4 linked regions of the Struthio camelus genome follow. The protein of the gene in region 1 purifies or fractionates together with the protein of each later gene. This does not show direct contact. Links are inferred from orthologs where the notes say so. Each region holds a gene or a part of one and is shown in the gene's direction. Other genes may lie near its edges. The genes, in order: CSNK2A2, PRRC2C, GRAMD1B and OSBPL8.

The links.
Region 2: the proteins of CSNK2A2 (region 1) and PRRC2C purify together in Homo sapiens (affinity purification with mass spectrometry; 3 studies listed by BioGRID and IntAct, with this or other methods). This does not show direct contact. The link is inferred for Struthio camelus from reciprocal best matches to the Homo sapiens genes CSNK2A2 and PRRC2C.
Region 3: the proteins of CSNK2A2 (region 1) and GRAMD1B purify together in Homo sapiens (affinity purification with mass spectrometry; 3 studies listed by BioGRID and IntAct, with this or other methods). This does not show direct contact. The link is inferred for Struthio camelus from reciprocal best matches to the Homo sapiens genes CSNK2A2 and GRAMD1B.
Region 4: the proteins of CSNK2A2 (region 1) and OSBPL8 purify together in Homo sapiens (affinity purification with mass spectrometry; 4 studies listed by BioGRID and IntAct, with this or other methods). This does not show direct contact. The link is inferred for Struthio camelus from reciprocal best matches to the Homo sapiens genes CSNK2A2 and OSBPL8.

The regions. Positions count from the first base shown.
Region 1 is NC_090951.1:30,370,737-30,377,649, reverse strand, and holds the start of CSNK2A2 (casein kinase II subunit alpha'), read left to right. Parts: upstream 1-3,913; 5' UTR 3,914-3,992; coding exon 3,993-4,096; intron 4,097-4,406; coding exon 4,407-4,518; intron 4,519-6,913.
Region 2 is NC_090949.1:8,575,680-8,582,914, forward strand, and holds the start of PRRC2C (protein PRRC2C), read left to right. Parts: upstream 1-4,222; 5' UTR 4,223-4,387; intron 4,388-7,235. Other genes in the region: dimethylaniline monooxygenase [N-oxide-forming] 2, read left to right, coding at 1-228, 428-500, 2,377-2,761. UniProt on the Homo sapiens protein: Required for efficient formation of stress granules.
Region 3 is NC_090963.1:4,960,655-4,967,785, forward strand, and holds the start of GRAMD1B (protein Aster-B), read left to right. Parts: upstream 1-4,129; 5' UTR 4,130-4,166; coding exon 4,167-4,528; intron 4,529-5,328; exon of another isoform or gene 5,329-5,346; intron 5,347-7,131. UniProt on the Homo sapiens protein: Cholesterol transporter that mediates non-vesicular transport of cholesterol from the plasma membrane (PM) to the endoplasmic reticulum (ER).
Region 4 is NC_090942.1:43,635,086-43,642,658, reverse strand, and holds the start of OSBPL8 (oxysterol-binding protein-related protein 8), read left to right. Parts: upstream 1-4,552; 5' UTR 4,553-4,559; coding exon 4,560-4,745; intron 4,746-7,573. UniProt on the Homo sapiens protein: Lipid transporter involved in lipid countertransport between the endoplasmic reticulum and the plasma membrane: specifically exchanges phosphatidylserine with phosphatidylinositol 4-phosphate (PI4P), delivering phosphatidylserine to the plasma membrane in exchange for PI4P, which is degraded by the SAC1/SACM1L phosphatase in the endoplasmic reticulum.

The DNA.
Region 1 (6,913 bases):
TATGTCACTGCCTCATTAAATCTGTGGAGATAGGACTGGCCACGCTGACCAATCCACACGGCTCTCCTCGCCTTGTTAGCTGGAGGCTGGCACTGAGACCTGAACGCATCCAGCAAGCATGGGAGAGGTGAGGACCTTGGAGAAAGGCTGGAATTAGCAGCCCCCCACCGTGACTCACCAAGCACAAGGGAGATGAACGTGCACCTGGAACCGGGCACTGACATTCCCATGCTCAGGAGACAGCTTGAGGGGATGGCTCTTCTCATAATTTCACCTCTTACCATCCCTAACAGCAGGTTAGGGACCAGCTCCAGCTTAGATTCAGGTCCTGGGTCATTTTTGCCTAGTTGTGACCAAGGGTCCACATATGTGATGTGTCCAGCATTCCTGCTGGGCTGATTTGACTCTTACTGGTCCTACCACGTTTCCAGTTGGAAGAGTGGTCTGGAGCACCTGGGTGCTTGAGCAAACTCCCCTGTTGGCTTTGTGGAAATGAAAGACTGTGACCAGGGAAGGGATTTGGGTGAGGGGAGTGGGGCTGAGGTACCAAAAAGCTACACAGTGCTGTTGCAGGCAGCTGGGCAAGCCAACAGCACATGAACCTGGTATTAATAATGATGACGCCATAGCCTGCGTCTCCAGTTCGGCAAGTTAATCCAGGGGTTCAAATGTGAGAAAATGAAGCTATGTCAGAGCCTGAGGTGGCAGAGCACTGGAATAAACCCCTCACTTACAAAGGCAACTCCTTTTGTGCCCGAGTGGCTGAGCTGTGAAGAAAAACCTGCACTCTCATTTGGATAAAACACCGAACTGAGGAACCGTGATGCGGTCAGTGCTAAAAAAGCACCCCTCCTAAAAAAAGCCTTAGGGTGATGTTGGGGCCTGCAGACCAATTAACCTCCCTTCAGCAGCTGGAGGAGGGAGTGAAACAATGATTAGAAAGAGGCTGATGAAGCCCTAGAAGAGGATGTGGACAAATCAACATGTCTCCCGCAGTGCAGAGAGGAAAGTGGAGCCTCTAATCTATCCAGACTCTCTCCTCAGGCCAATATAATAGGAGAATCAGTTGAGAGATTTTTGTTCTGGATTTCCAAAGAGCCTTTGGAAGAGGCAATCCTGAGAAACTCTTTGGTGGTCAAGGAAAAGTAGGGATTAGAAACCGGTGGAGAGAGTTAGGAATGGAAAGGAGCAATCCCTGCTTTTTGCCTAGAAGTTAATCACCATCCGTAAGCTCCTGGACGAGGGTGTTTCAAATATCACTGAGAAAATCTCTTAAGCAGTGCCAACACAAGACTGGCAGGTGACACAGGGTTATTTCGGTCAGTTTAGTCTGGAGAAGACCAAGGACATGAGCCCTGGTCAAAGCAAGGCCCGGAACGTGGCAAAGAGTGTGCATTCCTTTTGGGGCTACAGCCCTGCTCCAAACTGCTGTCACTCGTGGAGGCCCTCCAAAACCACATGCCCTGGTTCGGGAGGGGTAGGCCTGGATACCCCTCATGCCCACATCAAAGTACAGCCAGTTGATCTTGCTGCATTTCGGGGAGATGAAGTAGCAGTGGCAGCAGGGCCTGTGAAAAGTGCTGGCGGTGGAAGGGTTGAGGGACCCCAGAGCTGGGGGGGCTGGGAATGCCCCAGGGGCTGGGGGTGCTCAGAGGCTGGGGGTCCCATGGGGGCTGGGGGTGCTGGGGGTTCTGGGGGTTCCATGGGAGCTTGGAGTGCCTGAGAGACTGGGGGGCCCGTGGGTGCTGGGGGTGCTCGGGGACTGGGGGTGCTCAGGAGTCTGGGGGTCACTGGAGGCTGAGAGTGTCCTACTGTCTGGTGCTCCCTGGGGGTTAGGGGGGCTGTAGGTGTGTGTAGCGGTGAGGGATGTGGGGTATGAGATGGTGACAGGGGCTGATAGGGTGTGATGGAGTGTGTGATGGGGCGATGGGGCTGATATGGGTGCGTGACAAGAATGTGCGACAGGGTGATGGGGTGTGTGACGGGGCATGTGACAGGGTGACAGGCCTGTGACAAGGTGTAATGGGTTGATGGGGTTGAAAGGGGACGGTGATGGGGTGACAGGGTGATGGTGCAACAGGAGTTGTGGTGGGGGACTGTGATGGGGGTGTGACAGGAGTTGAGGGGGTGAAAGGTGCTGTAACAGCAGGTCATGGGGGTGACAGTGTTTGCCTGGGACTGCTCCAGGGCTGTGGCAGGGAGTGATGGGGGTGGCAGGAGCTGAAGGGGCTCTGAAAGGAGAAGATGGGTTGACAGTGTTTGAGGGGCTGTGGCTGGGGTGTGACAGGGCGTGACAGGGCCTGATGGGTGGTGACGGGGGTACCCTAGGGGTGGGAGGCAGGAGCTGAGATGGGGGTGATGGGGTGACAGGGGCTGTGACAGGTGATAACGTGATGACCATGGGTGAGGGGGGTTGTGATGCAACCTCTCACACCAGGTGCTGTGAGAGGGTGGGGGGGGAGACGGGCTGAGGGGGGTGCCGGGGGGTGCAGGGGGTCGGGCGAGGCAGGGGACGGGGATGCGAGGGGGGTGCCGGGGGGTGCCGGGGGGTGCGGGGGGTTGGAGCGAGGCAGGGGACGGGGGATGTGAGGGGGGGGCCGGGCGGTGCCGGGGGGTGCGGGGGGTCGGGGCGAGGCAGGGGACGGGGGATGCGAGGGGGGGGCCGGGGGGTGCGGAAGTTGCGGGGGGTCGGGGCGAGGCAGGGGACGGGGGATGCGAGGGGGGGCCGGGGGGTGCGGAAGTTGCGGGGGGTCGGGGCGAGGCAGGGGACGGGGGATGCGAGGGGGGGGCCGGGGGTGCGGGGGGTGCGGGGGGTCGGGGCGAGGCAGGGGACGGGGGATGCGAGGGGGGGGCCGGGGGGTGCGGGGGGTGCGGGGGGTCGGGGCGAGGCAGGGGACGGGGATGCGGGGGGGGGCCGGGGGGTGCGGAAGTTGCGGGGGGTCGGGGCGAGGCAGGGGACGGGGGATGCGAGGGGGGGGCCGGGGGTGCGGGGGGTGCGGGGGGTCGGGGCGAGGCAGGGGACGGGGCTGCGGGGGGGGGGCTGGGGGGGGCCGGGGGGTGCGGGGGTCGGGGCGAGGCAGGGGACGGGGATGCGGGGGGGGGCCGGGGGGTGCGGGGGGGTGCGGGGGTCGGGTCGAGGCAGGGGACGGGGCTGCGGGGGGGGGCCGGGCGGTGCGGGGGGTGCGGGGGGTCGGGGCGAGGCAGGGGACGGGGGATGCGGGGGGGGGGGCCGGGCGGTGCGGGGGGGTGAGGGGGGTCGGGGCGAGGCAGGGGACGGGGCTGCGGGGGGGGGGCCGGGCGGTGCGGGGGGTGCGGGGGTCGGGGCGAGGCAGGGGACGGGGGATGCGGGGGGGGGGGCCGGGCGGTGCGGGGGGGTGCGGGGGGTCGGGGCGAGGCAGGGGACGGGGCTGCGGGGGGGGGGCCGGGCGGTGCGGGGGGGTGCGGGGGTCGGGGCGAGGCAGGGGACGGGGCTGCGGGGGGGGGCCGGGGGCAGCCCCGGGGCCTGCGATGGGCGGGTGTGACCGGGGGCTCGGCGGTCCGCGGCGGGGGCGGTGCGGGGGGGCGGCGCGGCGCGGGGCGGCCGTTGGCGCCGGGCGGCGGCCAGGGCGCGGCGCGTCCTCCGCGCCGCCGGGGGCGCTGCGCGGCGGGCGGCGCGGCGGCGGGGCGGGCGGCCGCCTCTCGCGGCGGGCGGCGCGGCGGCGGCGCGGCTGCATCGGCGCCTTTTCCGGGTTGGCTGCGCCGCGCTCGGGGCCGGCCCAGGCTGCAGCGCCGCCGCCGCCGGGCACCGGCAGCGGCCTCGGGCCTCGCCACAGCTCCGCGCGGGCCCCGCGCCCGCCCGCCTGCCCGCCCCCGGGGCCGGCCCCCGCCCTCCCGGCCTGGCCCTGCCGCCCCCCGCCGCCGCCCTCCTGCGCGCCGCGCCCCGCCTCGCCGGCCTCCCGCGCCGGCCCCGCGCCCTCCTCCTCCTCCTGCAGCCGCCGCCGCCCGGCGCCGCCATGCCCGGCCCGGCCGCCGGCAGCCGGGCGCGGGTGTACGCCGAGGTGAACAGCCTGAGGAGCCGCGAGTACTGGGACTACGAGGCGCACGTCCCGAGCTGGGGGTAAAGCGCCCCGCGGGGACCCCCCTTCCCCGGGCCGCCGCCGGCCCCCTCGCCCGGCCCGCCGGCGGCTGGGGGCGGCCGGCCGCCCCTCCGCCCTGCAGGCCCCTGCCCGAGGGGAGGCGCCCAGCCAGCTCCCCCCCCTCCCCCGCCACTTTTCGGCGTCCCCATGGGTCCTCCCCCGCGGGGAAGCGGGCGGCTGCGGGAATGGCCTGGGGGAGGGGGATCCCCCCTTCCCCCCATCCCAGCCTGGTGCCCTGTCAGTTATTTTCCTCTCCCTCTGCTCTCTTTTATTTTTTTTTGGTGCCTGCAGCAATCAGGATGACTACCAGCTGGTTCGCAAGCTTGGCCGGGGAAAGTACAGTGAGGTCTTCGAGGCCATCAACATCACCAACAACGAGAGGGTAGTTGTGAAGATCCTCAAGGTGAGCGCCTCGCGGGTGGTTGCAGGGGCTCATGGTGGCAGTGGCCCTCGTTTCATTTTTGAGCTGGGAATAAGGAGGAAAGAAGCTGTGCTAGGGCCAAAAGACTGTTAGGTCTTGTCCTGCACCCCAAAACTCTTGTTCTTTGCTTTGTGGACACTTGAGTGCTGGACTGTATTTTGGGAAAGGGATTTAGTGTCCTGTGTGCTGTAGTGATGTTTCAATGTCTCCACCCCTTCTGTGCAGAGTAGCTGGAGCCTGCTCCAGGCCGAGAGCTCCTCGGGAGGAGGAGTGCTGTGAGTCCTGACACTTGAACAGTGTTGCATGTGCTGCCTGCATTTGGTAAATCATATCTGGCAATGTCTGTCTAAAACATTGCAAGGACTGCCATGTCAACAGGAATATGAAGCCCAGGGGGGAATCTTTTTGTTAACCTTTAGACAGCTGGCGTGCGGCGTTTTCAGGGTTCAGGCCGCAGGATGCTCAGCGGTCAGGCTTTAGTAAAGCAAACAAAATCTTAGATTTGGCCCTTTGAAGGATCTGCTCCATGGAAGAGAACTTCACTGTGGTCAGGTCAAAAATACTGTGGAAACTTGAGGAGGCTGAAGCAGACCATTTGACAGTTAGCAGCATTAGTGATATGCCCTGGTGTGTTGATTGTATAGAGGTTGGGGTGTGGGGATCTTCTTGCAAAAGTAACCGGTTGCAGTTTGGAACGACTAAATGCACTGGATTAGCCTCTGTAGGGCACACCTTACTGCGTTTGATGCTGAAGCAGTGTGCTTACAGAGAGGCGTGGTAGCTGTGTTTGCAGAAGTCTGTGATGGTGGTCTGGGGGTGAGGATGGTGGGGGGGAGAATCGAAAAACAGAAACAAAAGGTGCTTTTGGCTTTGGTTTGGCTGATGCTTGTGGCTGTTGTTTGTAGAATCAGCAACGCTTCTTACTTGTTCCTGAAGAGCATGTGGGAGCTAGTTTCTGATCACAGGCATACTAAGAATTTGGGCTCATGTTGATCTGCAGTGTGCAGGGAGGGTTCAGAGCTTGGAAAGTTGTCCTTGCAGCCGCTAAGGCTAGTAACTACGTAGGATACGTGTCTCTGCTCCAGGTCATAGCCTTGAGGCTAGGAGGAGTTCGCTAGATCTGATCTGATAGTGTGGCTAGCTGGCTAGTTTTGTCTTTGCTCCTCTCCCCACTCATCCACTATTCCTGCTTTCTTGGGATCCTTCTTGGTTTCCCAGAGAACTTGTCATAGGCTGCTGGGTCACAGCTCCTAGGCAAGGCATGACTTCCTGTCAGAGGAGTAAACTGTATCCCTGCCTTGACTGTGGCTAGGTGAGCCATTAGGGAGAGCCCCTGTGGCCGAGTCCTGGCATAAAGGCAGAGCAGTGAGGCTTCTGTGTCCTTGCTGAGTTCTTCTGGCATACTGCTCAGGCTTCCCCCTCCTTTAGATGTTTTACATAAGGTGGTGTGGGTTTTCTTTGTTTGTTTGTTTTTTAGGTAGGGGCAGGCAGGAGTTTCTCTTTTGAGAGAGAGTAGTCAGAGGTAGCCAGTGTAGGGTTGTATGTTACAGCAAGATGGCTTGTGGTTAGGCTGAGGAAACTGTGCGCTTCTGTGTGCTGCTCTAGAGCCCCGATGGTCTCTCCAGGAGTGCTATGGTTGGTTGAGACTGTAGATCTTGCCCCACATAAAAAGGTGCCACTAGGCTTCAGGACTGCAGAGAAAGTCTTTGAGAAATCTTCTTCCTTGCCTGTCCCCAGCCTAAAGGGCCTGCCCTGGAGCAATGCTCCTCTCGCTGTGGCAGCTGAGCTCTGTCGTCTTTAGGGTGCCTGTCAGCACTGAACTGTGAGTCGGCTGGCAAAAGTCGTCTGCGGGAGGCTGGGTGCCCCTTCTCCTTGGGGCCCGAACGTGTTGCCGTAACACCCTACAACAGGGGACTGGATTGTCCCAGATTTGAGGTAGATGGTGTTGCTACCCGTTCCCCTGGCTTCCCCCCACTTGCATTAAAATGCAAACAGCATTCCTGCAAGTGAGCAAGGAAAAGCAGAAGTCCAGATAAATAAAGGTGAACTTTCTTCTCAGTGGAAAGTGGGTCAGTGAAAGGCAAGTTTCAGAGCATCATGTTGTATACATCATGAAAACCTGCAAAATGTGGCAATAACATCACTCTCTGATCTGTGGAAAGTGCCTCTGGTTTCCTGTAGCTAGACTCAAACTTAATTGCAAACGTAATTACGTGTATCTACAGTGGAGCCTTAACAAATAGGCCGAGTCTCTGTTTTTCTTAATTCAAGTTAGATTCTAAGAGGGTGGGAAGTGCAACCAGAAGTCATCAGGTTTTTGTGTGGTTGTGGAGGTGGGACAAAGGGAAAAATTGCTGGGTGATAGATGCTGCTGTTT
Region 2 (7,235 bases), on another chromosome or scaffold:
CCGAAAACATCGACGTGGTGCTCTTCGCCACGGGATACGCATTCTCATTTCCCTTCCTGGAAGACTCTGTTCGCAGCCTCTTCAAACATAGCTGTTCCCTCTATAAATGCATCTTCCCTCCGCAGCTGGAAAAACCCACGCTGGCCTTCATCGGCTTAGTACAACTGACAGGCTCTGTGATGGTGGGAGCAGAAATGCAGGCTCGCTGGGTGACGGGAATCTTTGCCGGTAGGAGCCGGCGTGCCCGGACAAGGGGAGCTGGTGCAAGGGAGGTCGAGCACAGCCTGGCCGGCTCTCTGCAAGGCCCAGGCCGCGTCGGGCAGAGCACTTTCCATCTTTTGATGGAGCTGTGCATTTTGGGGCTGTCAGCACTAAGAATGCGTTAGCCTCTGGCCCCCACGGACCACAGTTTCTTTTTTCTTCTCAGGCTCCAACAAGCTGCCTCCCGTCAGCAGGATGATGGCAGATATTTCAAAGAAGGAGAAGCAGCTGGTCAAAAGGTGAGTGCTGCTCCCATGCTCTGGGCATGCTGCACCAGCCAGGACAACACGGGTGAAGGCGGTCCCCATAGTGGTTATGTCACAGACCTATCCAGGGCGTCTAATTATTCCTGAATGCAGATACTCCCACAACACCCATAGTGAGATGGGGAGATGCTGTCACCCCCTTCAATAGGTGACAACCCAAGACACCAAGGACATATCTCCCCTGGTTGAGCAGTGCAGAGCTGCTCCGTTTCTGCTGAAGCGTTCCCACTGACCCATGCCTTTCCCGGGCTCCGGTCCAGGTACAGCAGGAGCACCCCGGGCTAGAGCTTCCAACGGCCAGGGCACCCTTTCCACCGTGCTGTTCCCAGGCTTGCCCCAGACACCATTGACCTTCGGAGCAGCTTGCAGCAAGACCCCTGATGGATCAGGCTGGTAGTCCCCTCCATCAGGTTGCTAAGTCATGCCCTTATTTCCAGCATCTCAGGCTGGAGACTAGGTTTCCTCCAGACTACTAGTGCCATCTCGTGGTTTCTTCCTCCCAAAGCCAGGCACCGGAAGCTCTAGTGCTCCGTGCACCACCCCCTTGGAGCCGGGTAATGCAGGCTGTGGGTTGTTTGGGTGATGGTTTTTGGCAGGTCAAAATGAATAGTAGACAAGGCTCTAATGCATCCAATGCGCATATGGGAACTAAGGCCCTGCCTTGTTTGCCTTGGGATTTTACCATAAGTCCTCAAGGCTATGGGACAGATGCACTGGATGTGCTGTCTCGCAGTCACCAAGAGCTTTCTTGGCTGTCCTATCTGGAGCGAGTTGTGAGACCTCAGGGCCAGGCGGCATGCAGTCTGGGTTAGGTCTCACGATGAGGCAGAGCTGGATCATACAACCAAGGATACCAGTGAAAATCTGGGCCAAAACAGAGTCACATGGATTTTCATCAGGAGCCCCATCTACTCCAGACATGCACACTGTCCTCACATTTTGTTACATGGAAATACGGGAGTCTGAGTTGCAACGGAGATAAAGCTGTCTCAGATTTGCTGAAGTGGATTAAACACACCTCTTCTGCAGGGAAGACAAGGCCCCGGGAAGAAAGGGCTTGGATTTGTTCCGTGTCCTCACTATTTAAGGGGCTTAGCTCTAGCCTCTGGGTCAGTACTGGGACAGGGGTAGCGGAAGAGATCAGGCATCACCTACCCACGGGCTTGGTTGTTGAAACGAGCTGAAGTTCTCCGCAATTTCCTAATGAACTAATAGCAGATGAGCTGGTGACAAAGCAGACAAATGGGAGTGGGAGGCTGAGCTTTTCCAGTGCCTCTTGGCATAGGAAGCTTTCTGCATCTCTTAGCTTTCGCCGGTCCATTTGGCAGTCTTAGCTGTGAACGTAGACTGCTTCACCTCTCAAAAAGGGCCAAATTCAAGGCAGTGAATCTTGAGTAAGGACATTACACCGATATTTGTGGCATTACAATGATGGCAGCGTTGTGCGAGAACCATTCCTTAGTTCAGCCCCCTCCCTGGCTGCATTTTTCAGGGCTCAGCCACAGTCGGGTTATAGAGACAAAACAAGTTTCAGCCTATCACCTGCACCAGGGTAACTGCTAGTAACCGACCACACAAACGCTCTTTCAGTGCCTTTAGGCTTATTTATCTTACTACAGAGCATGGGCTAAGGGAGCTCCTCCCAGACCCTGGGCTCGGCTGGTGCTCGTCACTTCGTTAGTCCCCTGCAACGCGATGCCTTGTCCGAGCCCCAGGCGTTTGCCTGGGTCCCCACGGAGCTGGGGACCGAGGTGGGAAGGAGCGTGGAGCTGCCTGGCTGCATTCGGGGTGCTGGAAACGCGCTGGGACGCCGTTTGATTTTTCTTGTCTGTTTTATGTCCCAATGAAGGAATCCTGCCGAGGTGAACATGTGGATGAGTTTTATCAGCTACACAGATGAAATTGCGTCATGTGCCGGCATAAAGCCTAGCGTGCTGAGGCTGCTCCTGACGGACCCCCGGCTGGGCCTGGCAGTGTTTTTTGGCCCCTGCTCACCCTACCAGTACCGCCTGGTGGGACGGGGCCGCTGGAGCGGGGCCAGAAGCGCCATCCTGACTCAGTGGCAGCGGGCTCTGAAGCCCTTGCGAACCCGCGTCATAGATGACTCCTCCGACAGCTCCTCCAGCTTACCCTGGCTGTGTCTCCTTGCCCTGCCTGCGGTTCTCGTGGCGGGTTTCCTCTTTTCTAAATATGCCCGGCCATGGTGGATCCCCAGGGCAGGTTTCCATCTGTAGAAGAAACCCGGCAAAACATGATCTGGGGACAGTGCAGAGCTGTGCTGCTGCAAGGCGGCTTCAGTGGTGTCTGGGACTGTCACACACGCTGTCCCCAAGGGTGCCAGGATAAGGGCTGGCTCCTGGGCATGCCACCGAAACGGCGGCCACCGTCTCCTTCTGCTTCCAGGCAGACCAGGTGCACTTGCAATTTGCATTTCGCTGCACCACCTCCGGAGGTGAACTTTGCCGAGGAGAAAGCCATCTGCAACCCCCTGCTCTGTTCTCGCCCCCAAATCTGGCTGCTTTGCACAAGCATCGGGTTGGCTCTCTACAGGCCTTTTGGGGAGATCCTGAAGCGCTGGTCTGCGTGGCCAACGCATCTGTGCGGGGGCCTCGTGCCTCAACTCAAGGCAGGATCTCAGCAACAGGTCTAAGCCTGGGCCAGTATTTCTTGGCCCTCTGCTTGGCTCAAGCCCTTTCCATAAATCTTCAGCAAGGTCCACGAATCAATGAGATTTTTGAAACGCTCAATGTTTTTTTTATTTGCCTCGTGTCTTCTGGGACATGAAGGAAGGAGCTAGAAATAAACCTCACTGATTTGGACTTCTCTGATGTTTTCATTAACAAACAGCTTTATTATTGGTAGAAGGGTGGAGTTTTTTCAAGTGGACCTTATGTCATGCTTGAGGTGAGAACCCCATCTTAATAAAAAGGATATCCAACAGGGCACGTTTGGAAACAGAGACGGATACAGGCGGGCCTGTGTCCCCACCATTGCCTGAGCAGCCTCAGGGCTGCAGGCACATCTGAAGGCAAAGAGCAAAGGGAGCTAGGCAGATCCTCCCCACGCGCACACAGGGTTTTTAAACTCGGGGTATTGTTGCAAGCCCAGCTGACGACCGCTGAGTGTGCTCGGGGTGCGTTCACTGCGCTCCCGGAGCATCGCTCAGCAGGAGGCACGATGCATCCCGAACCTTCATACCCATCCCTGCCTGCGCTGCCAAACGGCTCTCCTGGGGGTTTGGAGGTTTGCACAAGGCGCCGTCGGCGGCAACGCGATCGCGTGCAGACCCCGCGTCCGCACGGGCGTCACGCTGGCGCGGCTCTCCCAGCGCGACTCAAGTAACTGCGTGCCGGCCGCGCAGACGTGCGCCCGGCCTGGTCCCACCCGGGAAGGGAGGCAGCGAGGGCGGGCGCAGCGTCAGAGCACCCACGCCAGCAGGGTTGGCAGGGTGCAAGGCGCTAACAGCAGCTCTGCCGACGGGGCTGGCGGCACCCGTGCTGGCGCGGGGTGCACGGCGCTGCCCAGCGCCCACCGCAGGCAGCGGCGCCGGGGCCGCTCCGCCGGGCGCCGCCAGGGGGCGCCGCGCGCGCCGCCGGCCCGCGCCGCCCCGACTGCGGCACCGCGGGGCCACGTGAGCGGCGCGGGGCGGGGCGGCGCTGGCGGGCGCGCGCGCGCTCGCACGGCGCGGTGAGGTCAGACGTCGTTGGCGCCGGCTTGGCCGCCCGCCATCTTGGCCCCAGTGTGGAAGCGGCTGAGGCGCGGCGTCGCGGCGCCGGGAGCGGCAGCGGCAGCGGCAGCGGCCTCGCCGAGTCCGGGAGCGGGGGAGGCCGGAGCGCCGGCCCGCCGCGCCGCTGCGCCAGGTGAGCGGCGGCGCCGCCGCCTAACCGCTGAGGCCGGCCGGCTGGGCGCAACGCACCGGCGCCGGGAGCGGCGGGCGAGCGGCCTGCGCCGCATGGCCCCAGGCGGGGGCGGCTTCCGCCGGGCTCCGGCCTGGCGGCGGGTGCAGCCCCGGGCCCGGCGGCGGCGGGAGGCGCCCGGGAGCCCGCGGCCCCCTGCCCTCGCGGCCCGGCGGAGGGGGGCGCTGGGCCCGCCGTGGCGGGAGGGCGGGCCGGGCTGCCCCGCGCCGCTGGGCCGCGCCGCATCGCCGCCCGCCGCCGCGCCCTGGGGCCGGCCGCGCCCGGCGGCGGCGGGCGGGCGCTGCCGGGGTGGGGGCGGCGCGCGGAGCGGGCCTGTCGGGGCGCTGCTTTCTTCCCGCTCCCGCCTCGCCTTTCTCTTCGCGCGGCTTCGGGTCTCTTCTTTCTCTCTAGGGAGGCTTCTCGAGAAACGTGCCGTCCCCTGCGTGCGTTTGCGCGTAGTTTGCAGCTGTGATTCTCGCTCCAAAAACTCTTTTTTTGGGGGGAGGGGGGGAAGAGGAGGGAGGCTTTTCTTAAGGGATGCTGGATGCACAAGCAGGACGCTGCGTCTTGGTTTTCTAACTCTGCAGTACTCATCCACAGTTCTTGAGATGTATGGTTAAGGCTGTTCCTGGATTATTTGATGCAGGACTGAGTAAAGCTCCTTTCACGGAGGTGTTGTTATTTCTCCTTGCAGAGACAAGGTTTGGAGAAGTGGAGTAAGCACAGCCAGGAGTGTTCTTACAGATACTGTTTAAACCATAGCGTGACCAAGGTTAGATGACATGGCTAAAAATCGCACCGCCAGTCTGCAGTAGGTATTATGGGAACCATCGCCTGGGGATGCAGCGATTGAAAATCTTGGAGCCAAAGATGGTCCAACTAGTTTCCCACACGGGTTGTTTCTGTGGGCCGGGGGGGCCTGAGCAGTATGCATGAGGAAATGGTGTGGGGAGTTGTCTGGAACACTTCATGTTTTCTGTGTTTCTTTCCTTTTGTCTCTCAGCCATATGTTTTGAAAGCATGTCCCTTTGTGAAAGCTTTTCTGCTCCTCCTCATTGAGTAGAAAACTGTTCTTCCTTGTTGCTTTTTAATGACTGGAGTCGAGTGGTACACTAGTAAAAGTAAGCGTTATTTCAGGCAGGTGGAACTTTTTTTTTTTCTTTGTAGCTTTTTCTCTTGTATGGTGGGACATCAGGCCTACTAGATGTCAGGTCCTCAGAGCACTGCCAAGACAAGAAGTTACTTTTGAAGGGAGGAGGAAATGGGATGTGATCTCATTTGTGCATCAGTGAGAAACAAAAGGATTGTCTTTTAATACTGGTTACCAGGAGCTAAAGGGGTCTCAATTTTCTTTGATCATATAGTGGAGAGAATATTTCTTCAAGATTGATTTTGGGGTGTTTTAATGCAGCTGTCGTACAGTGGTCTCCTTGCGACTAAGGAATTGGGAAGGTTTGAGATTTCTTTGAAGCTGGTGTATGTTCAATAAAAAGATGGTTTGTCCTCAGCAATGTGTTCTGATCGAGTTCAGTGAGTGAAGAGTATGACCACTTAGCTTATGTGAGGTGACCACTTGAGATGGCCATTTGAGCTGAAGCAAGAATTGATATAGGCCTCTGCTGGTGTGTGGAGACTAGGGTAATGACTTGTGTGGCTTTGAGTCTGTCACTTGGAACACTGCCTTAGTAGATTTGTGTTTTCTACATCAAGAAAGTATCACTTTTATAAGCTATTACTTACCGAATGTGTATAAACCAATACACAGTCATTTCTATGAGCCTTGCTAATATCACTGTAGTTATGTATAATTTCTTTACTTTGCTTAGACTCCATAACTAGAAGCCTTGGCTTTTTGTAGAGAAGCCTTTTAAAAAAATTGTTATTTCAGTTTACATCTGTAACTTCTGTGTTGCTGAAGTCCTTGTTCAATGGTAAAGGTTTATGTCATGCATCTTCCTTAGGCACGTTTCCTCACATCTTGAAGTCTGCTAGGGAAGGTGAAACAGACCGCAAGGAACAGGCAAAAGGTGATACAGTTCAGAAGAGAGATTACTTGCAGGCTTGGTCCTGCATGAATGAGTGCTGTAGGTCAATAAAATGAAGGAACGTAAGTCAAAGAAATGGGTGCTTTGTATGGGGTTTGCTTTGGTCAGATGTCCTGGGTTACTGAAAGTACAAGTTCCGTATTCCAAAATATTTCCTGTATTAACTATGGAAGTGACATGAAAGTGGAGAGGGAATGGAAAATGTAGCATAAATGCCGTATAACGATAGCCTAGATAGGTGATTTAGATGTAGAAATAGAAAGAAAAAGGTAGTTCTTGCAGAGGGGCAAACCCTTGCATAGTATGTTGGAGAGGTGGGTGAAGAAGAAATATTCCTCCACGGTCCCCCTGTTGAAGGGAAGAGGGGAACATCTCTGAAGGCTGTATACATTAATGGAGGGTTTGCGGAAAAAACTCCGCCCTGAAAGTGCACCACGTTTCCACTAGTTGGGGATGGATGTTGGACTTGTAATGACGGGACTGCCAGTGGCGTTTTACTGGTAGAACCAGTTGTTCATCTCCTGTAGCAAATTTTTTCTTCGCTCAGCTTCTTGCCCTTGTGGGGTTTTTTTCCTTTTTTTTTCAGGCTCTGGTTTCACAAAACCCCATAGAAATGTCCCATGGATGAAGGCAGGTGCAAAAAGAAGAGATGAAATTTGTGTGAGGAGGTGGGAGGAAAAAATATATGTGTTTGTGAAATGAAAATGGAATTAACAGAAGTCTTTTAAAAAAAAAATGCATAAAGAGCAGAGGATGGAGTCCTAATA
Region 3 (7,131 bases), on another chromosome or scaffold:
AAATCATAATTGTAACTTAACATGTAAAGGCCAGAGCTGGATTTCAGACGTTCCGTTTGAAGGAAATGATCCACAGTTCCAAATATAACATGACCGTTCTTGCAGAAAACTGTTGGAATGAGAAAGTCACTGTAGATAAGTACTGGTTTCTCATTTAGTGTCACAAAAATACTGCAGAATTTTCATAGTAGAAAGAAAAACTTTGCCAGCTTTGGAACTTTCCAGCCAGAATTTTGTTCTGGCAGGGCTTGCTTTGTTGTAGGCATGGCAAGTTTCTCATGCAGAAACTGCCATTTTTAGCTGTGCACCTGAAAGGGAAAAATACTTAACAAGTTAAACTTCTCTTTGACACGTTGGGAAAAGTGAGTTTGAATGGGAGAATATGCCTTGGTGAATTTTGTGAAGTCTGTGTTAGCAACAGTCTCCCTGCCTGGCCAGAAAGACGGTCCCACAGCACAGGATGGCCAGATTTCGTGTGTCTGATTTTTGTTGCTCTTCTGAATAAGTTACAGTTATTTTATGTATTTGAAATAATGCTTTGAAGTCATACACTCTTTTCTTTGAGTGTTTCCATACCATCTCTAAGTCGGTATTCATCTACCAAGGATGACATGTTGCTGTCTTGTAAGCACATGAGGAAACTATTACGGAAAGGACTGCTGGAGAATCTGGACTGGCATGATTAGATGCTCTTCATCCTGAAAAGAAATGAAAATCTTTCCTGAGAGTTGTTTCCCCTTTTACTCTCTTTGCTTTATTTATCTCATAAGTCCTCTTCAAGGACCCTGGAAAGGCTAAATGTTTGAATGGGAGACAGACCAAGTTTTAAAACTAGCCAAAGTGCACCTGGTTCTTCTGCTGTGGCCATAGGTGAAGCGTTCCAGAGACCTTTTGGGTCAGACTGTAGTGTTGACAGCTCTTTGCTGCTATCGTGATTCCGTCTTAACAGGAGTAGTCCTTAAACAAGGATCTCCTGGCACAGAGGCTATTATGGACACTGTCAAATCAGTCATTGTGATTTGCACAGAAATAGCGCTTCACCATGGTTGGTGTTTTTCACTCTGTGGGTCAGGAGTTTGCACGCTCTCTCTTATTACATAACTTTTTTTTTTCCTCCTCTCTTTAAGAGTATCAGGCAGGTGGCCAGCATCCTTTGTCCAAAATAAAAATGGCCTAATAATATTTGAGCATAAGTGCTTCTTACTAATTACTGAAGTACTTGGAATTAAAGGGGTAGCCTCTATGCATGTAAATGCTGTTCCTGATGGGAAGGATTCTCAAGCTACAAGCTGAGAGAATTATTTCAGAATTTTTTGTCGACATATGTCAGGGGGAGCATCCCGTCTTCCTGTAGTGAATCCCAGCAGTGTTAAATGAAGCTGTTTTGAGTCCTTTTGATGATGAAGCAGTTGCTTTTTGTTGCCTTGGCCGTGCCAGTAAAAACTGGTAAAGGGGCCTTTTTTTTCCTTCCCAAAGGAAAAAGCAGCAAGTTCTGAATGCTGCTATTGTCTAGAGCAAGGTAGTGTGAGTGACTTACCGATTAATTGAATAATGTCTTTGAAGATTTTGAGGGTCTGTAATGTGCACTGTGTGATCTCTTCCTAAAATATGAAAGCATAAAAAATGCAGCCTTTTTGTCTCTGCTTATTTGCACTTATTTGTACAATTAAACAAGTAAATACCATCTATTTGATAAGGTTCTACAGGGAATCAGACTCATTAATACATGCAGGAAAACCTTTTTATGATAGATTCCAAAAGGCTACTAGTTTTATTTGTTGCAATAGATTAGAAGAAGATTCAAGTTCCTTTTAGTGGAAAAAGTGGTTCAGGGGAAAGTACTTTTTCTTTGTCATCTGAATGGGTGGGTGGGTGGTGTTCTCTTCTTCCCCCCCTCCTCCCCCCCCCCCCCAAAGTTAAGCAGAGCTACTCCCTTCTCCCTCAGTTGTGTCTACTTACTCTTAGTTAAGGTTTAGGAATTGTATTATGGTGTTTTGATTTCCAGGCATTCTAGGAGGAAGTTGAAATTGAATTTTCTTTGAGTTCACAGGTGGCCTGACAATGTTATGTACAGGTGGCCTCTGAATGAGAGGTGACATGATAGAAATCATGGCAACAGGTGGCTGAATAACTCAAATACTTTAACTGCAAATTCGGGTTTCTCCATATTGCAGAGGAGCAGAGAATGCACAGCTACTTATGCAAGTCTTCAGATAATAAATCTTGGATTCTGTTGTCTGTTCTGTAGATTTTTGTTTCTCAGATTTTAATTAACTGTGTTTTTGACCATCTGTTTTTGAGCTAAGTGGATGTTTGTGGAAGGCATTCTGTTTGCATGCGTCCCTGATGGATAGATACCAAGGTGACAGGAGCTCCGGAAATTAATTGAAGTGTTGGTCAAGCTATGAACTTACAGGAGGAGCAATGAGTGATAAGGACAGTACGACAAAGTAGGCTCTAGCAATTGGGAATATAAATAAAATAAAAAGAAAATTACTGACACATTTTTTTTTTCTGGCTCTTCCCCCTTGTTGCTGCTGTTACAAATCTTTTTCTTTAAAATGCTCTAGATTCCAAAGTTTTTGATGTTCAAATTTCTTGTCAAGTCTGTTTTGAAACAAAACTTTAAGGGAAACTGAACAAGATGAAACACTTTCATTTTGGTCAACAGTATTTTCTGAAAAAAGTATTTATGAATATTTATTAATGTTTCCAAAGAGTCAGCTGACTGAACAATGAAAACCAAAATTGTTCGGTGGATTCAGAGAAGGTTTTTCTGACAGCACCCTTGAAGTTCAGTCAGCTGAATTCTAGCTGCTCCCTTACAGAATTTAACTTCTGTGCCCTTTTTCACCTGAAAATGTAGCTTAACTCAGCTTGCTCTAGGAGCATTCTGTAAAACTTTGGTGGAGAGTCACTTCAACACTGTTCATTCTCCCTGATCCAGTTTTATTACTGGCATATTGCAGGTCTGGTCCTCAGACTGCCATTCCTCCCAGTGCTTGACCCTTGGTAGAGAGCCTTGTCTGCTTATTCAGTGCCTGTGAATCTTCCATGTAGTACGTGGCTTTTCTCCTGGTGTAATATCTGTCCTTTGTGTCTAATGTCTTTATGTGATGTCTTTGATTCCTGAACCTGAGACCATGTGTCATTTTGGAAGTAGCCTTGCACTCTGAGAACTTTTATCAGCTTTTCCTCAAGTGAACCTGAACTAAAAACCAGCCAGTCTCAGTTCTGGTGCCACCTGCTGCTACTGCTTTTTAGCTATTTGTCCATCTCTCTGCTGTGCCCTCTCTGTGTGCGGTCAAGGGAGACACGAGGCCTTAGCTTTGAAAGAAGGCTGGAAGTCTAGTTCTGCTTCCCCTCTTCCTCCCTGCAGGGGGGGTAGGCTGTGGGAGCAAGAAGGTGGGGCAAGGGGAAAGCCTGTCCAGTTGGCTTCTACAGAAAGTTGTTATCCCGTCTTACCCTTTTTCATTAGGTTGACATGCAGCAGCCGCATATTCTGTAATAGAAACCCTATCTCTTGGGATTAAGCGTGCAGCTGCGCTTGGAGCAGCTGCCTGTGTATGTCTTATCTGTTACAGAAAAAGAACACGTTGCTCCTCCTTCTTTCTCCTGTTTTTTATCTAGTACTGTTGCTTCCCTCCTTCTTTCTCTTTCTCTCTGACCTCCTCACAGCTCCACGTCGCTCCCTGCTTGCTTCGTCTTTGCAGAAGACCCACAGCTGAGTTTTGCAGCACAGCCCAGGAGAGCTTTTTCACTGAGCCAGCATTAGGCAAAGGACAGAAAGCAAAGGAAAACAAAGCTGAAAGTCACCAGCAGCCCTTGTCCTGATGCTGAACATATTAATCTGAGAGAGAGAGGGAGAGAGGGACCAGGTGGGGGAGGGAACTTGTTTTGCAGGGAGAGGGGAAGGACAAAAGAAACTTGAAACTGGCTCCCCTTCTGGTCTGTCAGTGTCCTGACCCCCCCCCCCCCCCCCCCCCGCCTCCCCTGGCCTGTTAAATGAAAGCACCTGAGGAACATGAGATTTCCTGCTTGAGGGGGAGGGCGAGTACTGAACTGGGTGAGGGAGGAGAAAGAGTTGTGGTTTTGTGGTGTGGTTTATGCTGAGATCAGAGAGCTAGTGTGTGTGGGGGTGGGAGCAGAAAGAGAAAGGGTATCTGATGCCAGCTGCCAATATGACAGAAGCCCTGCGGCTCCCAGCACTGCATGTCCCAGAGCAGCAGGTGGTGGAGGGTGGCCGTGCCTGGTCCAGTTCGTCTACCCCCACCCTGCGCAGGAAGCGCTTCAAGATGAGGCGGATGAAGAATGTTCAGGAGCAGAGCCTGGAGGCCAGCAGGTATCAGGATTCTCCTTCCTCCAGCAAGGAATTCCTGCAGCTCCCGTCCATTGAAATCACCCCCTCCAGTGATGAGGACACCCCCTGGTCCAACTGCTCCACACCCAGCGCCTCCCCGCGACGCAAGCGCTTCCTGCTCCGGAAGTGGCTGCGTGTGAGAGAGAAGGAGGAGTACAGTGAGAGCAGGTATGTTTTTGGCTACTCTCCCTTCCCTACTTCCAGGAAGAGCCTGCCCTAGAACAGGGGTAGGGCCTGCTGTTCACCTAGAGCTTGTGTCCTGCTTCTCCCTGGGGCCTTGTCCTCACCTGGTGGCTGGAATGGGTAAAATAGTTGATTGGACTCTTGCTGATGCCAGACCAAGTGGCCTAATGCGTATGCGCAAGCAGTAGGCATTTTGGAAATGGCACTGGTGGGATCTGTCCTTGTGTATGGTCCTCTGCATAGCTTTTAAAACTTACTCAGGGCCAATGACAAGAGCTTGTTTTGGAGTGAGGGAGACCAAATACTGCTGTGTCCTTAATGGGCGGGTGATCATAAGACTAACTTCATCAAGGTCCTGAAATCTGCAGAGACCCTTGAGAGAGAGAAGGTGACCTCTCTGCTGGGATTGCCAGGACAGGGATTGATGATGCTAAACCTTTGTCAATGTCTCTTGTTTTTATGGTGTTAATATGTATTCAATGAGACCTTGTCTGAAGACCCTCGTTGACTTGCTGACATTAAGAGAACGTGATGAGAAGAGTGAAAGACAAACTAGCCTTGTGACTGGTACACGGGTCTGCATGTCAGGATGCCTGGGTTCGATTCTTGGCTGCCTTCTGGACTTGAAAAAGTCTCTCAGTTCTTTGGCTCCACAAGATGAGGACAGATAGTTGACAAAGACCTCCAAGAGCTTGTCAGTGCAGCAAAGTTGATGCCCAGTGAGTTATTGCGTGGAAATACAAAGAAAAAGCTATACCTTATCTAACTCTGCACTTTGTAGACAGTGACTGCATCTGCACAAGGTAACTTACTCCCCTTTTAATGGGAAAATGGGACAGTCTGCCTTGCCCAAAGGCCCAAAAATACGCAAGGCATTTCAAGGGTTTGTCTGTGGGAAATTAGTGTGTTATGAATCCATATCCTAGCTTAGTGTGGGCTACCTTTTTTCTGTCGTTGCTTTGCAATGCCCATGCAACCTGATGCATGGGTTTAAGCCTGAATGTATCTACACTTGGATCAAAAAAGGACAAACGTGATATCTCTTGCTGTATCTGCACCTGGTTTACCAGGTTGTCTCACTGACTGTTGTGTCCCTTTGAGTGATGGGAGGAGAGAGCTTTTACTTCTGCAAGTACTGACTCTAGTCATGTGGTAGGTTGTCTTCCCTTATGAGTTCCCTTTTGCAAGGTCAAGCTGTCATTTTATTAAGTTTCAAGGAAGTTTCTTCAAGAAGTGCATGCATCAAGCACTAGATGTAATCACTCTTTTGGAAAGCTTTCATTGTTGAAAAACATCTCTTGACTGAGGAGTAGTACTGATTTCCATCTAGCTGTAGGGATTTAGGTGATTTAGGCTATAGCACAGAAAACATAAGGATAATGTATGAGGCATATGCATATGTTAGTGGGAGAACGGTAAAATTCAGGTCTGAAATTCAACAGAGAACGACGTTTTAACCGAAGATTTTAATTTGGGCTTATTGTTGAGTATGTGAGACGGAGGCCAAGTCGGACTACTTTCTGTGCAAATGTATAAGAAATCTTTGGTGTACGTGTACACACGATACTTCCGTGGCTTTGCTGACAGCTTTCTGCTTATTCATCGTTCTGAACGCTTTTCTGCCTTAACCTTGGTTATGTTTTCAAAGTGGTGATTGGAAAAAGCTAAAGCAGTTGATGGATTAGGTGGTATTAGCATACCAAAGTCAGCATGGCATCTCCTTTCTTCATATGTGGCAGGCTCCAAATCTATGCCTTTTGTAATGGGAAAGGTATCAGGTTTTCAAATGGAATTTTTCCCTTTCCAGTGCAGAGGAGAAAAGTGTTTTTTGTCTGCCCTTTTGTGCAGAGCCTCTGGGCTTGGAGAACGCCAAGATCGTCACTGGGCTTCCATAACTCAGCAAGAGTAGAAGAAAAAGCCACACAGAGGACACGATCTTTGTGGGGAGTTTGTCACAGCAGGAGAGATGAACCCCGAAGGATTTTGTGGCGTTAATGTGAAAGAGATGTAGCAGTTAGTGCCATAGGGTAGACCTCATTGCATCGCAAGGCCATCGTATGTGAAACACTTCTTAAAAGAGCAGGGGCAGGAAGCTGCCTTTCTGCAAAGCAGATTCATATTGTCCATCTACCTACCTCTACTTCAGACTTGGTCTTCAAGAGCACTAGCTAGCACCCCATTGCGTGGCCACATAGCTGCATGTTTGTGTGGCAGGGGTTTCTCAGCGAAGCTCGTAGTTGGGAGCGTACTGTGCATCAGCTGATCGATTCCAGCAATGCGTGTGTCGCTCTCACGCCTCTGAACAAGAATGATTGCTCCGCAACCATTAGCGTGCAGTAAGCGCATCCGAGTGGATAAATAAATACTTCTTGGATTCAAAAGGCTGGCTGTAATGCTCCAGGTCTGATGAAGACTGGCTGGCTTTTTCTATGTAGAGACTTCAGCCTACGATATGTTCTATGTAGTAGGTTAGTTTTTAACAGCCTGGATCATCTTATTGGTCGTTTACTTACTGACTGTCTAAAAGCTGTTGACTGGTAGCCTGAGCGTAAGAGAGCGGGCAAGAGAGGTGGCAGGTTAAGACTCTT
Region 4 (7,573 bases), on another chromosome or scaffold:
CGCAATAAGAAAAGTCTAAAAAAGCACATTAGATAAACATTTCGCTAAAAAAAAATTTGCTATTCTCTTCCTGCCCAATCCCAGCTGCTTTTGTAATTATAACCAAGAACTGCATTTCAACTTTTTTAAATAAAATCTTCTCAAGGTGAGAACAAAAGCTGCAATTTTCTTTGAGATGTGTGAAGCTGCAACTTCTCGGAAGAGTAAGTACGGAACAGCTCTACAGAAGATAGGAAGTTGTTGATATATTTCATATTAATGTTTTCAGTCAAGATTTCTAGTACATTTCTGATTTTTTTCCAATTTTCAGAGACTAATTAGCTGTCTGTGCCTACAGATGTTGCAAAAAGTTATGCTATATGCTCCAGAGAAAAAGGAAAAAGGGCAGAAGGCTCCCTCACCAGGACTGCAGAACTCTCACTTTACTGTAGAATCTGCTGTTCCTTTTAGCCTTTTGCTCTGTTACACCTTACCAGTGGAGCGCCATGTGGTATGTGTTACCACTAGATAATCAGATAACACTTACCAAGATTACAGTGAATAATCCTCTAGTGACTCTGCAAGTATATTATCTCAGAATAATGCAAATTTTCTTATCATTGCTTGTTTGCATTCCTATACCATCTATGGGCCCTAATCATACCTCATCAGCCCACAAAGCTATGTGCAACCACAAAACAAAAAGCTGTGCCCTTTTGTTGTTCAACTTAAACTCTAAACTACCTTATCATGTTTTCTGAACACACAGCAGAGAATACATGAATTTAGGGATCAACTGTGAGATGCTGGCCTGTCACGAGCTCCCACACTCCTGTTGCAGGATGTTCATGCCTAGCACTCCCACTTCAGCAACAATCTTGCTCACTCTTTCGCTGCTCCTTTTCCAAGAGCTGATCCAGGAAGAAGCAGCTGTAGGTAACTGAGGTGAAGGTGTTTACTTATTTCAATATATTATTACAAATTTTATCCTGCACAGACTAGATGACCTCAAAGGTCATGTCCACCTTTAAATTGCGTGTATCTCTGCTATTTTAAAGAAAAGCATATGCCCTACAGAAAGACATGCTTCAAAGATAGAACTGACCTCCTACCCTTTTATAGAGCCGTTTCCACCTCTACTGCCGCATATACGTTAAGAGACATTGGTAACTGAGGCTTTCCTACAGGAAAAGGAGCAAAAGGAGCTCTTTTTTTCCTTGCTGAGGACCTCTCTTGGTTTTATACAGTCACAAGCATGTTTCCTACAGATCTGTTAAAAAGACACATACAACACAAGCAAACACTTTCCCTAGTGAATGTACCTGTGGTGCCTGTTACATGTTTCTTCTGCCTGACAATCCTAATGGGTGAGGTATAAACTCATACCTATATATTCATATATACATACCTATACATGTACATATCTACATACCGATACCCATTCATACCTACTACATACTCATATGTCTACTATTCAGTAGCACTCTGGCTCCTCAAATCATTTTTCCCCCTGCTATAAGAGGAATCATTTACAAAATTTCTCTGTTACATATTCCAGGTTTGCACCACCTATGCAAATGTATACTAGCTTTTATTTGACTCATTATAAGCCACGTTAACAGAGGCCTATGACTCTCCATAAATTGTTACTGCTGTCTTGGTGCGCGTTATGAGCCTTCCCCTTCTATCACAAATCCAAATACAAGAACTCTGTAGTGCTAAGAAAGCACTCTAAGGCATAAGGAATAGAAGTTTACTAGTGCCCTGCAGGAAAATGAAAAAAGCATAGCATGGAAAAGGGATCAAGCACAGTATAGCTTCATAGAATGCCACTAAGTGATCCAATTCCTGCTGCCAGCAACTGCCTGGCATCATATTCCTTGTACATCTAAAATTGTGACCTATCCATGAGCGTTTAGCACAGCTTTAAGAACTTCCACTTTTTTTTTTTTTGAGCTCTCAAAATATTAAAGTGCAAAATATAGTGTATTTGAAAAGAGCTTTAAAAGAACTGCTACCTGTCATAAGGCAAGACATGAACTGAATACACGAACAGAACTGCTGCTTCCCAAGGCTAGACTCAATCCATTCGATAGACCACAAATGACCTTAAGAATTACAGCTCTACAGTGAAAAAGCCCTAGTGTCTAACTCTTGTCAGAGTGAATTATCTCATTCCAGGGCTCTCCTTTGGGGACAACTATTGCTTAATTATAGAAAGCTTTATAAAAAGAGATTTTGAATCCTTTCTTTCAAATAATGAAAACAAAATTGTTCTCTGCAACATTTTATACCTAACTGTTGAGAAGAAAAAGGAATCTTCTGTACTCAGGAATATATACATATATATTTCTATAGAAACATTAAAAAGTATTGAGGAAATTATACTCAGTCTTTTAATTAAATCGTATTATTCAAGGAACAGAATGAAAAGATTGTGAGTGGAATATTAGCCCAAGATAATGGACTCCTAGTGACACTGCTACATAATTGAGGTAGAGCAGATAATACTATGAAATATAGATTGAGCTAGAAGGTTTTTTTTGAGATTTGGATATATTAATCGTTTGACTGCTTTTTTGCGTCATTACTTAGCAGGTCAACGCTCAAGGTGCCACATATTTTCTGAATGCACTGACAGTAGTTCCCCTCAGAATAAGCAGAAAGAGAAGATGCTTAGCCTCTTCAGAAGTTCCTCAGCCTTTTACAACTGTTTTCAGTTGTGTCACCTGGCAGATGACGAAAACCTGAGGTACGTATTCATTTTATTTTAAATATGATGACATGATACGGAAGCTGCTCATTGTCATTTTATACTACCAGTAACATTTTAAAACGTGCTCTGGATTTTTTGAAAAAAAAATCCAAAATGGTGTTCTTCCTGGCATAATAATTGGAGATCATCCCACTTGTAGAATTATGGCTTTTATTCAGAGAACACTTTACTTCCATTGTTACTAGGTTTTTTCACTGCCTAAATTATTTTAAAACACACTTAATGATTATTACAATGCTTTAATGCTATTTATCACTGAACTGTTTCCAGCATTCAGTATAAGTTATAGTTTCTACTTGAAGGAGTGGTGCTCCTTGAATGAAAGCTGCTTATAAAAACAAGCAAACAAACAAACAAACCCTAACATCATGAACTTCAGCAGCTCCCTCCCAGCTAGGCCTCCCTCCAATTATCCCACTAAACATCTTGGTTCTGCCTTTCAGATTATATTGTGCTTTTTGTTGTTGTTGTGGTTTTGGAACGATCTTTGCATCCTCTTTCCTACCTCAGTCCATCAGTGTTTCCCAGCTTTAAAACAATTATGCTTCCCACAGCTTCCCTGACAGTAGCTTTCTTCTTTTAGTCCCACATTGGTACCATCCAAGACCCACCCAGTCTTAACATAAAACATGTGGTTGGCCTAAGATTATTTCTGTCTTACGTTTCCAGGCGTTCTTAAAGCCATCACCCTGAACGATGGTAGGATCTCCTGCAGTTCGTAAAAGGGGCAGGTTCAGAGTCTCCTATCTCCTCCTCTAGGTCCTGCCTCTATGGATGAAGGTGGATGAAAAACTGACCTCGTCCTGCGGAAGGTATGGAGACACCAAAGTCAGCCTGATATACAGGACTTCTCTCCCTCAAAACTGCTTCAGAGGATTTTCTTTGTGCTGGGAGAAAACAGGAAACAGAAAGGGGCTCAGGCTCCCAGTTCCAGCTTCTAGACCACTGTATCTGAACTGACAAAAGCTATGTCGGAGGCAGAATACTGATAACTGTCCGGCCCCTCACTCGGATTTTACTGACTACAGCAAGTAGGTCTGCCAGCACCTCCAGCCGTCGCACAGATACGAATACTCAAGGCTCACAGCTTAGCCAAGGACAGCGCACGACCCTCAGCAAGGCCACTCTGCGGTTTTATGAAGTCCCTTTTGTTCTCTCAGGACAAACGCGATGAAAGAATTGCGCACTAGCTGGGAGAGGTACAGGGAAAGCAACCCCACCCCGCCTGTGGCCCAGCCCTGCCCGCTCGGCCACAGACCCACCCCGGGAAGCTACGTGCGCCCAGGGGCGAGGTAACGGGCAGGGCGAGGGGGCGGGGCGGCGGGGGGGCGAGGTAACGGGCAGGGCGAGGGGGCGGGGCGGCGGGGGGGCGAGGTAACGGGCAGGGCGAGGGGGCGGGGCGGCGGGGGGCGAGGTAACGGGCAGGGCGAGGGGGCGGGGCGGCGGGGGGCGAGGTAACGGGCAGGGCGAGGGGGCGGGGCGGCGGGGGGGCGAGGTAACGGGCAGGGCGAGGGGGCGGGGCGGCGGGGGGCGAGGTAACGGACAGGGCGAGGGGGCGGGGCGGCGGGGGGCGAGGTAACGGGCAGGGCGAGGGGGCGGGGCGGCGGGGGGGAGCGAGCTAACGGGCAGGGTCAGGGGGCGGGGCGGCGGCGGGGGGACGGTCCGCGCCGCGGGCAGGCGAAGCCGCGGCGCGCGAGGCGCTCGCGACCCCCCAGCGGCGGGGGCGGTGCACATGCTGGCGAGGCACGTGACGGGGCGGCGCGCGCCTGCGCCCGGCGGGCTCCTGGAGGCGGCGCTGCGGCCGATGAGAGAATCAAGCGGCGACGGGGCGGGAGAGCCTGCGCGTGCGCCAACCAGCGAGCGAGCGAGCGAGCGAGCGAGCGAGGTCGGGCGCCGCGGGCGGAGCGCGGCGGCGGCGGCGGCGGCGAGGGGAGCGCTCCCGGCCGGCAGCGGCCTCCGCCAGGCGCCGCGCCTCCCCGCCGGCACCGAGGTGAGAGCCCAGCTGCGGGGCTGCGTCCTCATCCCCATCTGGGGGCGCCTCCGCGTCTCGCCCGGGACAGCGGCGCGGCGCGGCGGGAGGGCAGCGGCGGCTCTCAGTAGCCCGGAGCCCCGCGGGGCGGCGGGGCTGCTGTCATCCGTACCGCTGCTGGCGGTGCGGGGCGGGGCGGCGCGTCGCGGCGGGGCGCCGCTGTGGCGGCCGTGCCCCGCTTCTGGAGCGCGCTGGGAGCCGCTCGGTGTCTGGCGTAGGGCTTCGGGTCCGCCCGCCTTCGGTTTGCCTGCTTGAAGTCGGGACCGGTGGCGTGCCGAAAGCCAAAAGCGGTGATTTAGCGTGCCCGCTGTCATCGCGCTGCCAAGGCGTAGCGGCGTTTCAAAACTTCCTTTTAGTTCGGGCCGGTCCCGCTTTGTAGTCAAGGCGTTCATCGTGCTTGAGGACATTTAAGCCTACTTCATGACAGACATTGTGTTAATTACTGCCCTTGCCCCTTCAACCCCCAAGGGTCCACAAAGCACAACTTGAAAGCTGTTAAGTACCAAGTGCAGTTAAAAATTCGCTCCTTTGATTGTGAGTAATCTTCTTCCACTCGCACTGCGAAAATAATCTCGTTGGGCAGTGCCCTGGGGAACAGAGCCTAAATCCTTGTTATTGTAACTGGTGCCTTACTGCTGCCAGCCGTTCTTCTGTGTCTTTTATGAGCAGGCCTTATAGATGGCTCGCTTCCAAACAGAGCGCCCTCAAAAGTTGCCTAGCCACATTTTGTTCAACATACTCGATGTCAATTCCTATAAGCCGCAAACGTTTGCTTGAAATATAGTCTTCCTAAATCATATTTGTTAGAGATGCTGTGTAGAACTCAGTGTCTCAAAGGACCAGGAAAACCATTAATCCATGTGTGTGATTGAAGATGTTTCTAATGTGAGATTTTGCTGCTTGTCCGTTTTGGGTCTGAGAACAGGAAGTCTTTTAAAGCTTATTTTTCATCTGGAAGTTTTCTTAGTGTTAGTTATTTCAATTTAATCGCGGGAAATATAGTAGAAATCAGTGCTTGATGCATTAAATATTATGCAGTTGAGTCCCTGCTGATGCTTATTTAATGTCTACCTAATTTTCACAGTTTTGGAAAGACAGGAGTTGAGCAAAAGTTGTTCTTCCATAGCAAACGTTATGAGCAGTAGCAGATGTCTCTTGTCTTTATCACCTCTGTTCTTCAGTTAGTGGATGTTTAGTGTTGATATCCTTAACTACTGGTCTTATGGGGGGGAAATCATATGATTTCGGTTGACAGATGCTTAGTATCTTAGAAAGGAACTTTTTAGAATTCCCCACAAGCTTCTTAGGATGTTTATTGTTTCAGCCATGCGCTGACTTTTATCAAAACTCCTAACCTTTGAAATAATCTGTTCTGTGAACTTACTACCATGTAGCCATACTTTCCACATGCTAATTAACAGCATTAACTGTTTGTTTCAAATACTGAAATTCTCTAAGATGACAGAGATATGTGGTTGGAGTCGCTAGTCTTGCCTTTGCTGTAACTTTTCTGTTATTGTAGAGTTGTGAAGCTGCTGTAAATAAAGGGAGTTGTTCAGACTGATATAACTTAGATCTAGAAGTGAATTGATCTCTCTCTCTTTTTCCTACTTCGATCATGGATCAGGGAAAGAGCTCCTTCTAAACACGCATTCCTGTCAAATTAAAAACTGACACTTCAGAAAAAGTCTATCCAGGTCATATTTCTGCCCACAACTCTTGAAGGACACACGGACTTCTAGGGTACTTGAAACTCTGGATTAAGTGTCATAAATGTATAAGCTTGTTAGCCTTCACAATATGAAGTAGAATTTCCTGACGTTGCGGGAAAAAATGATGAACTTTTGCGTTTCTTATTCATTGTTGCATAAAGGATTCCTGGCACCTTTTTTGTCTTTGTTTTGACATGGCAAAGTAGGTTTTGACTTCCTTGAGAAGATGATGTTGCTTCTACCTGACGTCAGGCTGAGCAACAGAGGGAAGGATTTGAAAAGTTCTGTGTCATAAGTTCTGCTTAGCTATTGGGTCAGTAGATGTATTTCAAGGGCATACTCTAACTCCTGTTTACTTTAGTGGGAATTGAATCAGGAAAAGAAGTCAGACTGATGTGCTCCTATTCTTTCATTACTTCATATTGTCATTTTGCAGAGCTAAAGGGAATTAAAATGCTAAAATCAATGGGAAAAGACTTTGGGAAATAAAGTTTACTGATGATTGCTCTATATCGAATTACTTGCAATAAACCTTTTAGTGGCTATAAATGCTCTGGTGAAATCGTCAAGAAGGCTCTTAGGGGATACAGTGCTTATAAATGTACTGTTTATCTTTTGTCTGCTCATATGTTCTCAAAGAAATGCTTGTACGACTTCCTAGTATAAGAAACTATGCATATTTTATATTCTGTGAAGTGGTATTCCATCTCTGTCTCTTTACAATAAATTTTTGTGCAGATCACTTCAGACAAGGTTCAGTAAACTGCCAAATCAGTTATTTGGCTTTTATCTCTTCAATGATGACTGTTACACCACCCACCCCTCCCACCCCCACCTGACTTTGTTTTGTGAAGCTTGAAGGAGAGTCTTAGGATTTATTCTCCCCGCTCCCTCCCCATGCCATGGATTTCTTTCATTTTTAGGCTGCCTGTCAAAAATGTTATCTCACGTTAGACTCTTTGGCTACTGTTTCCAAACAAAATAGACTTATATTTAGAAAATACATGCCATCATGTAGCTGAAACTTCCCCATGTGACTAAGCAGAATTTTTTTGTTTTCTTTTTTGTAAGAACCAA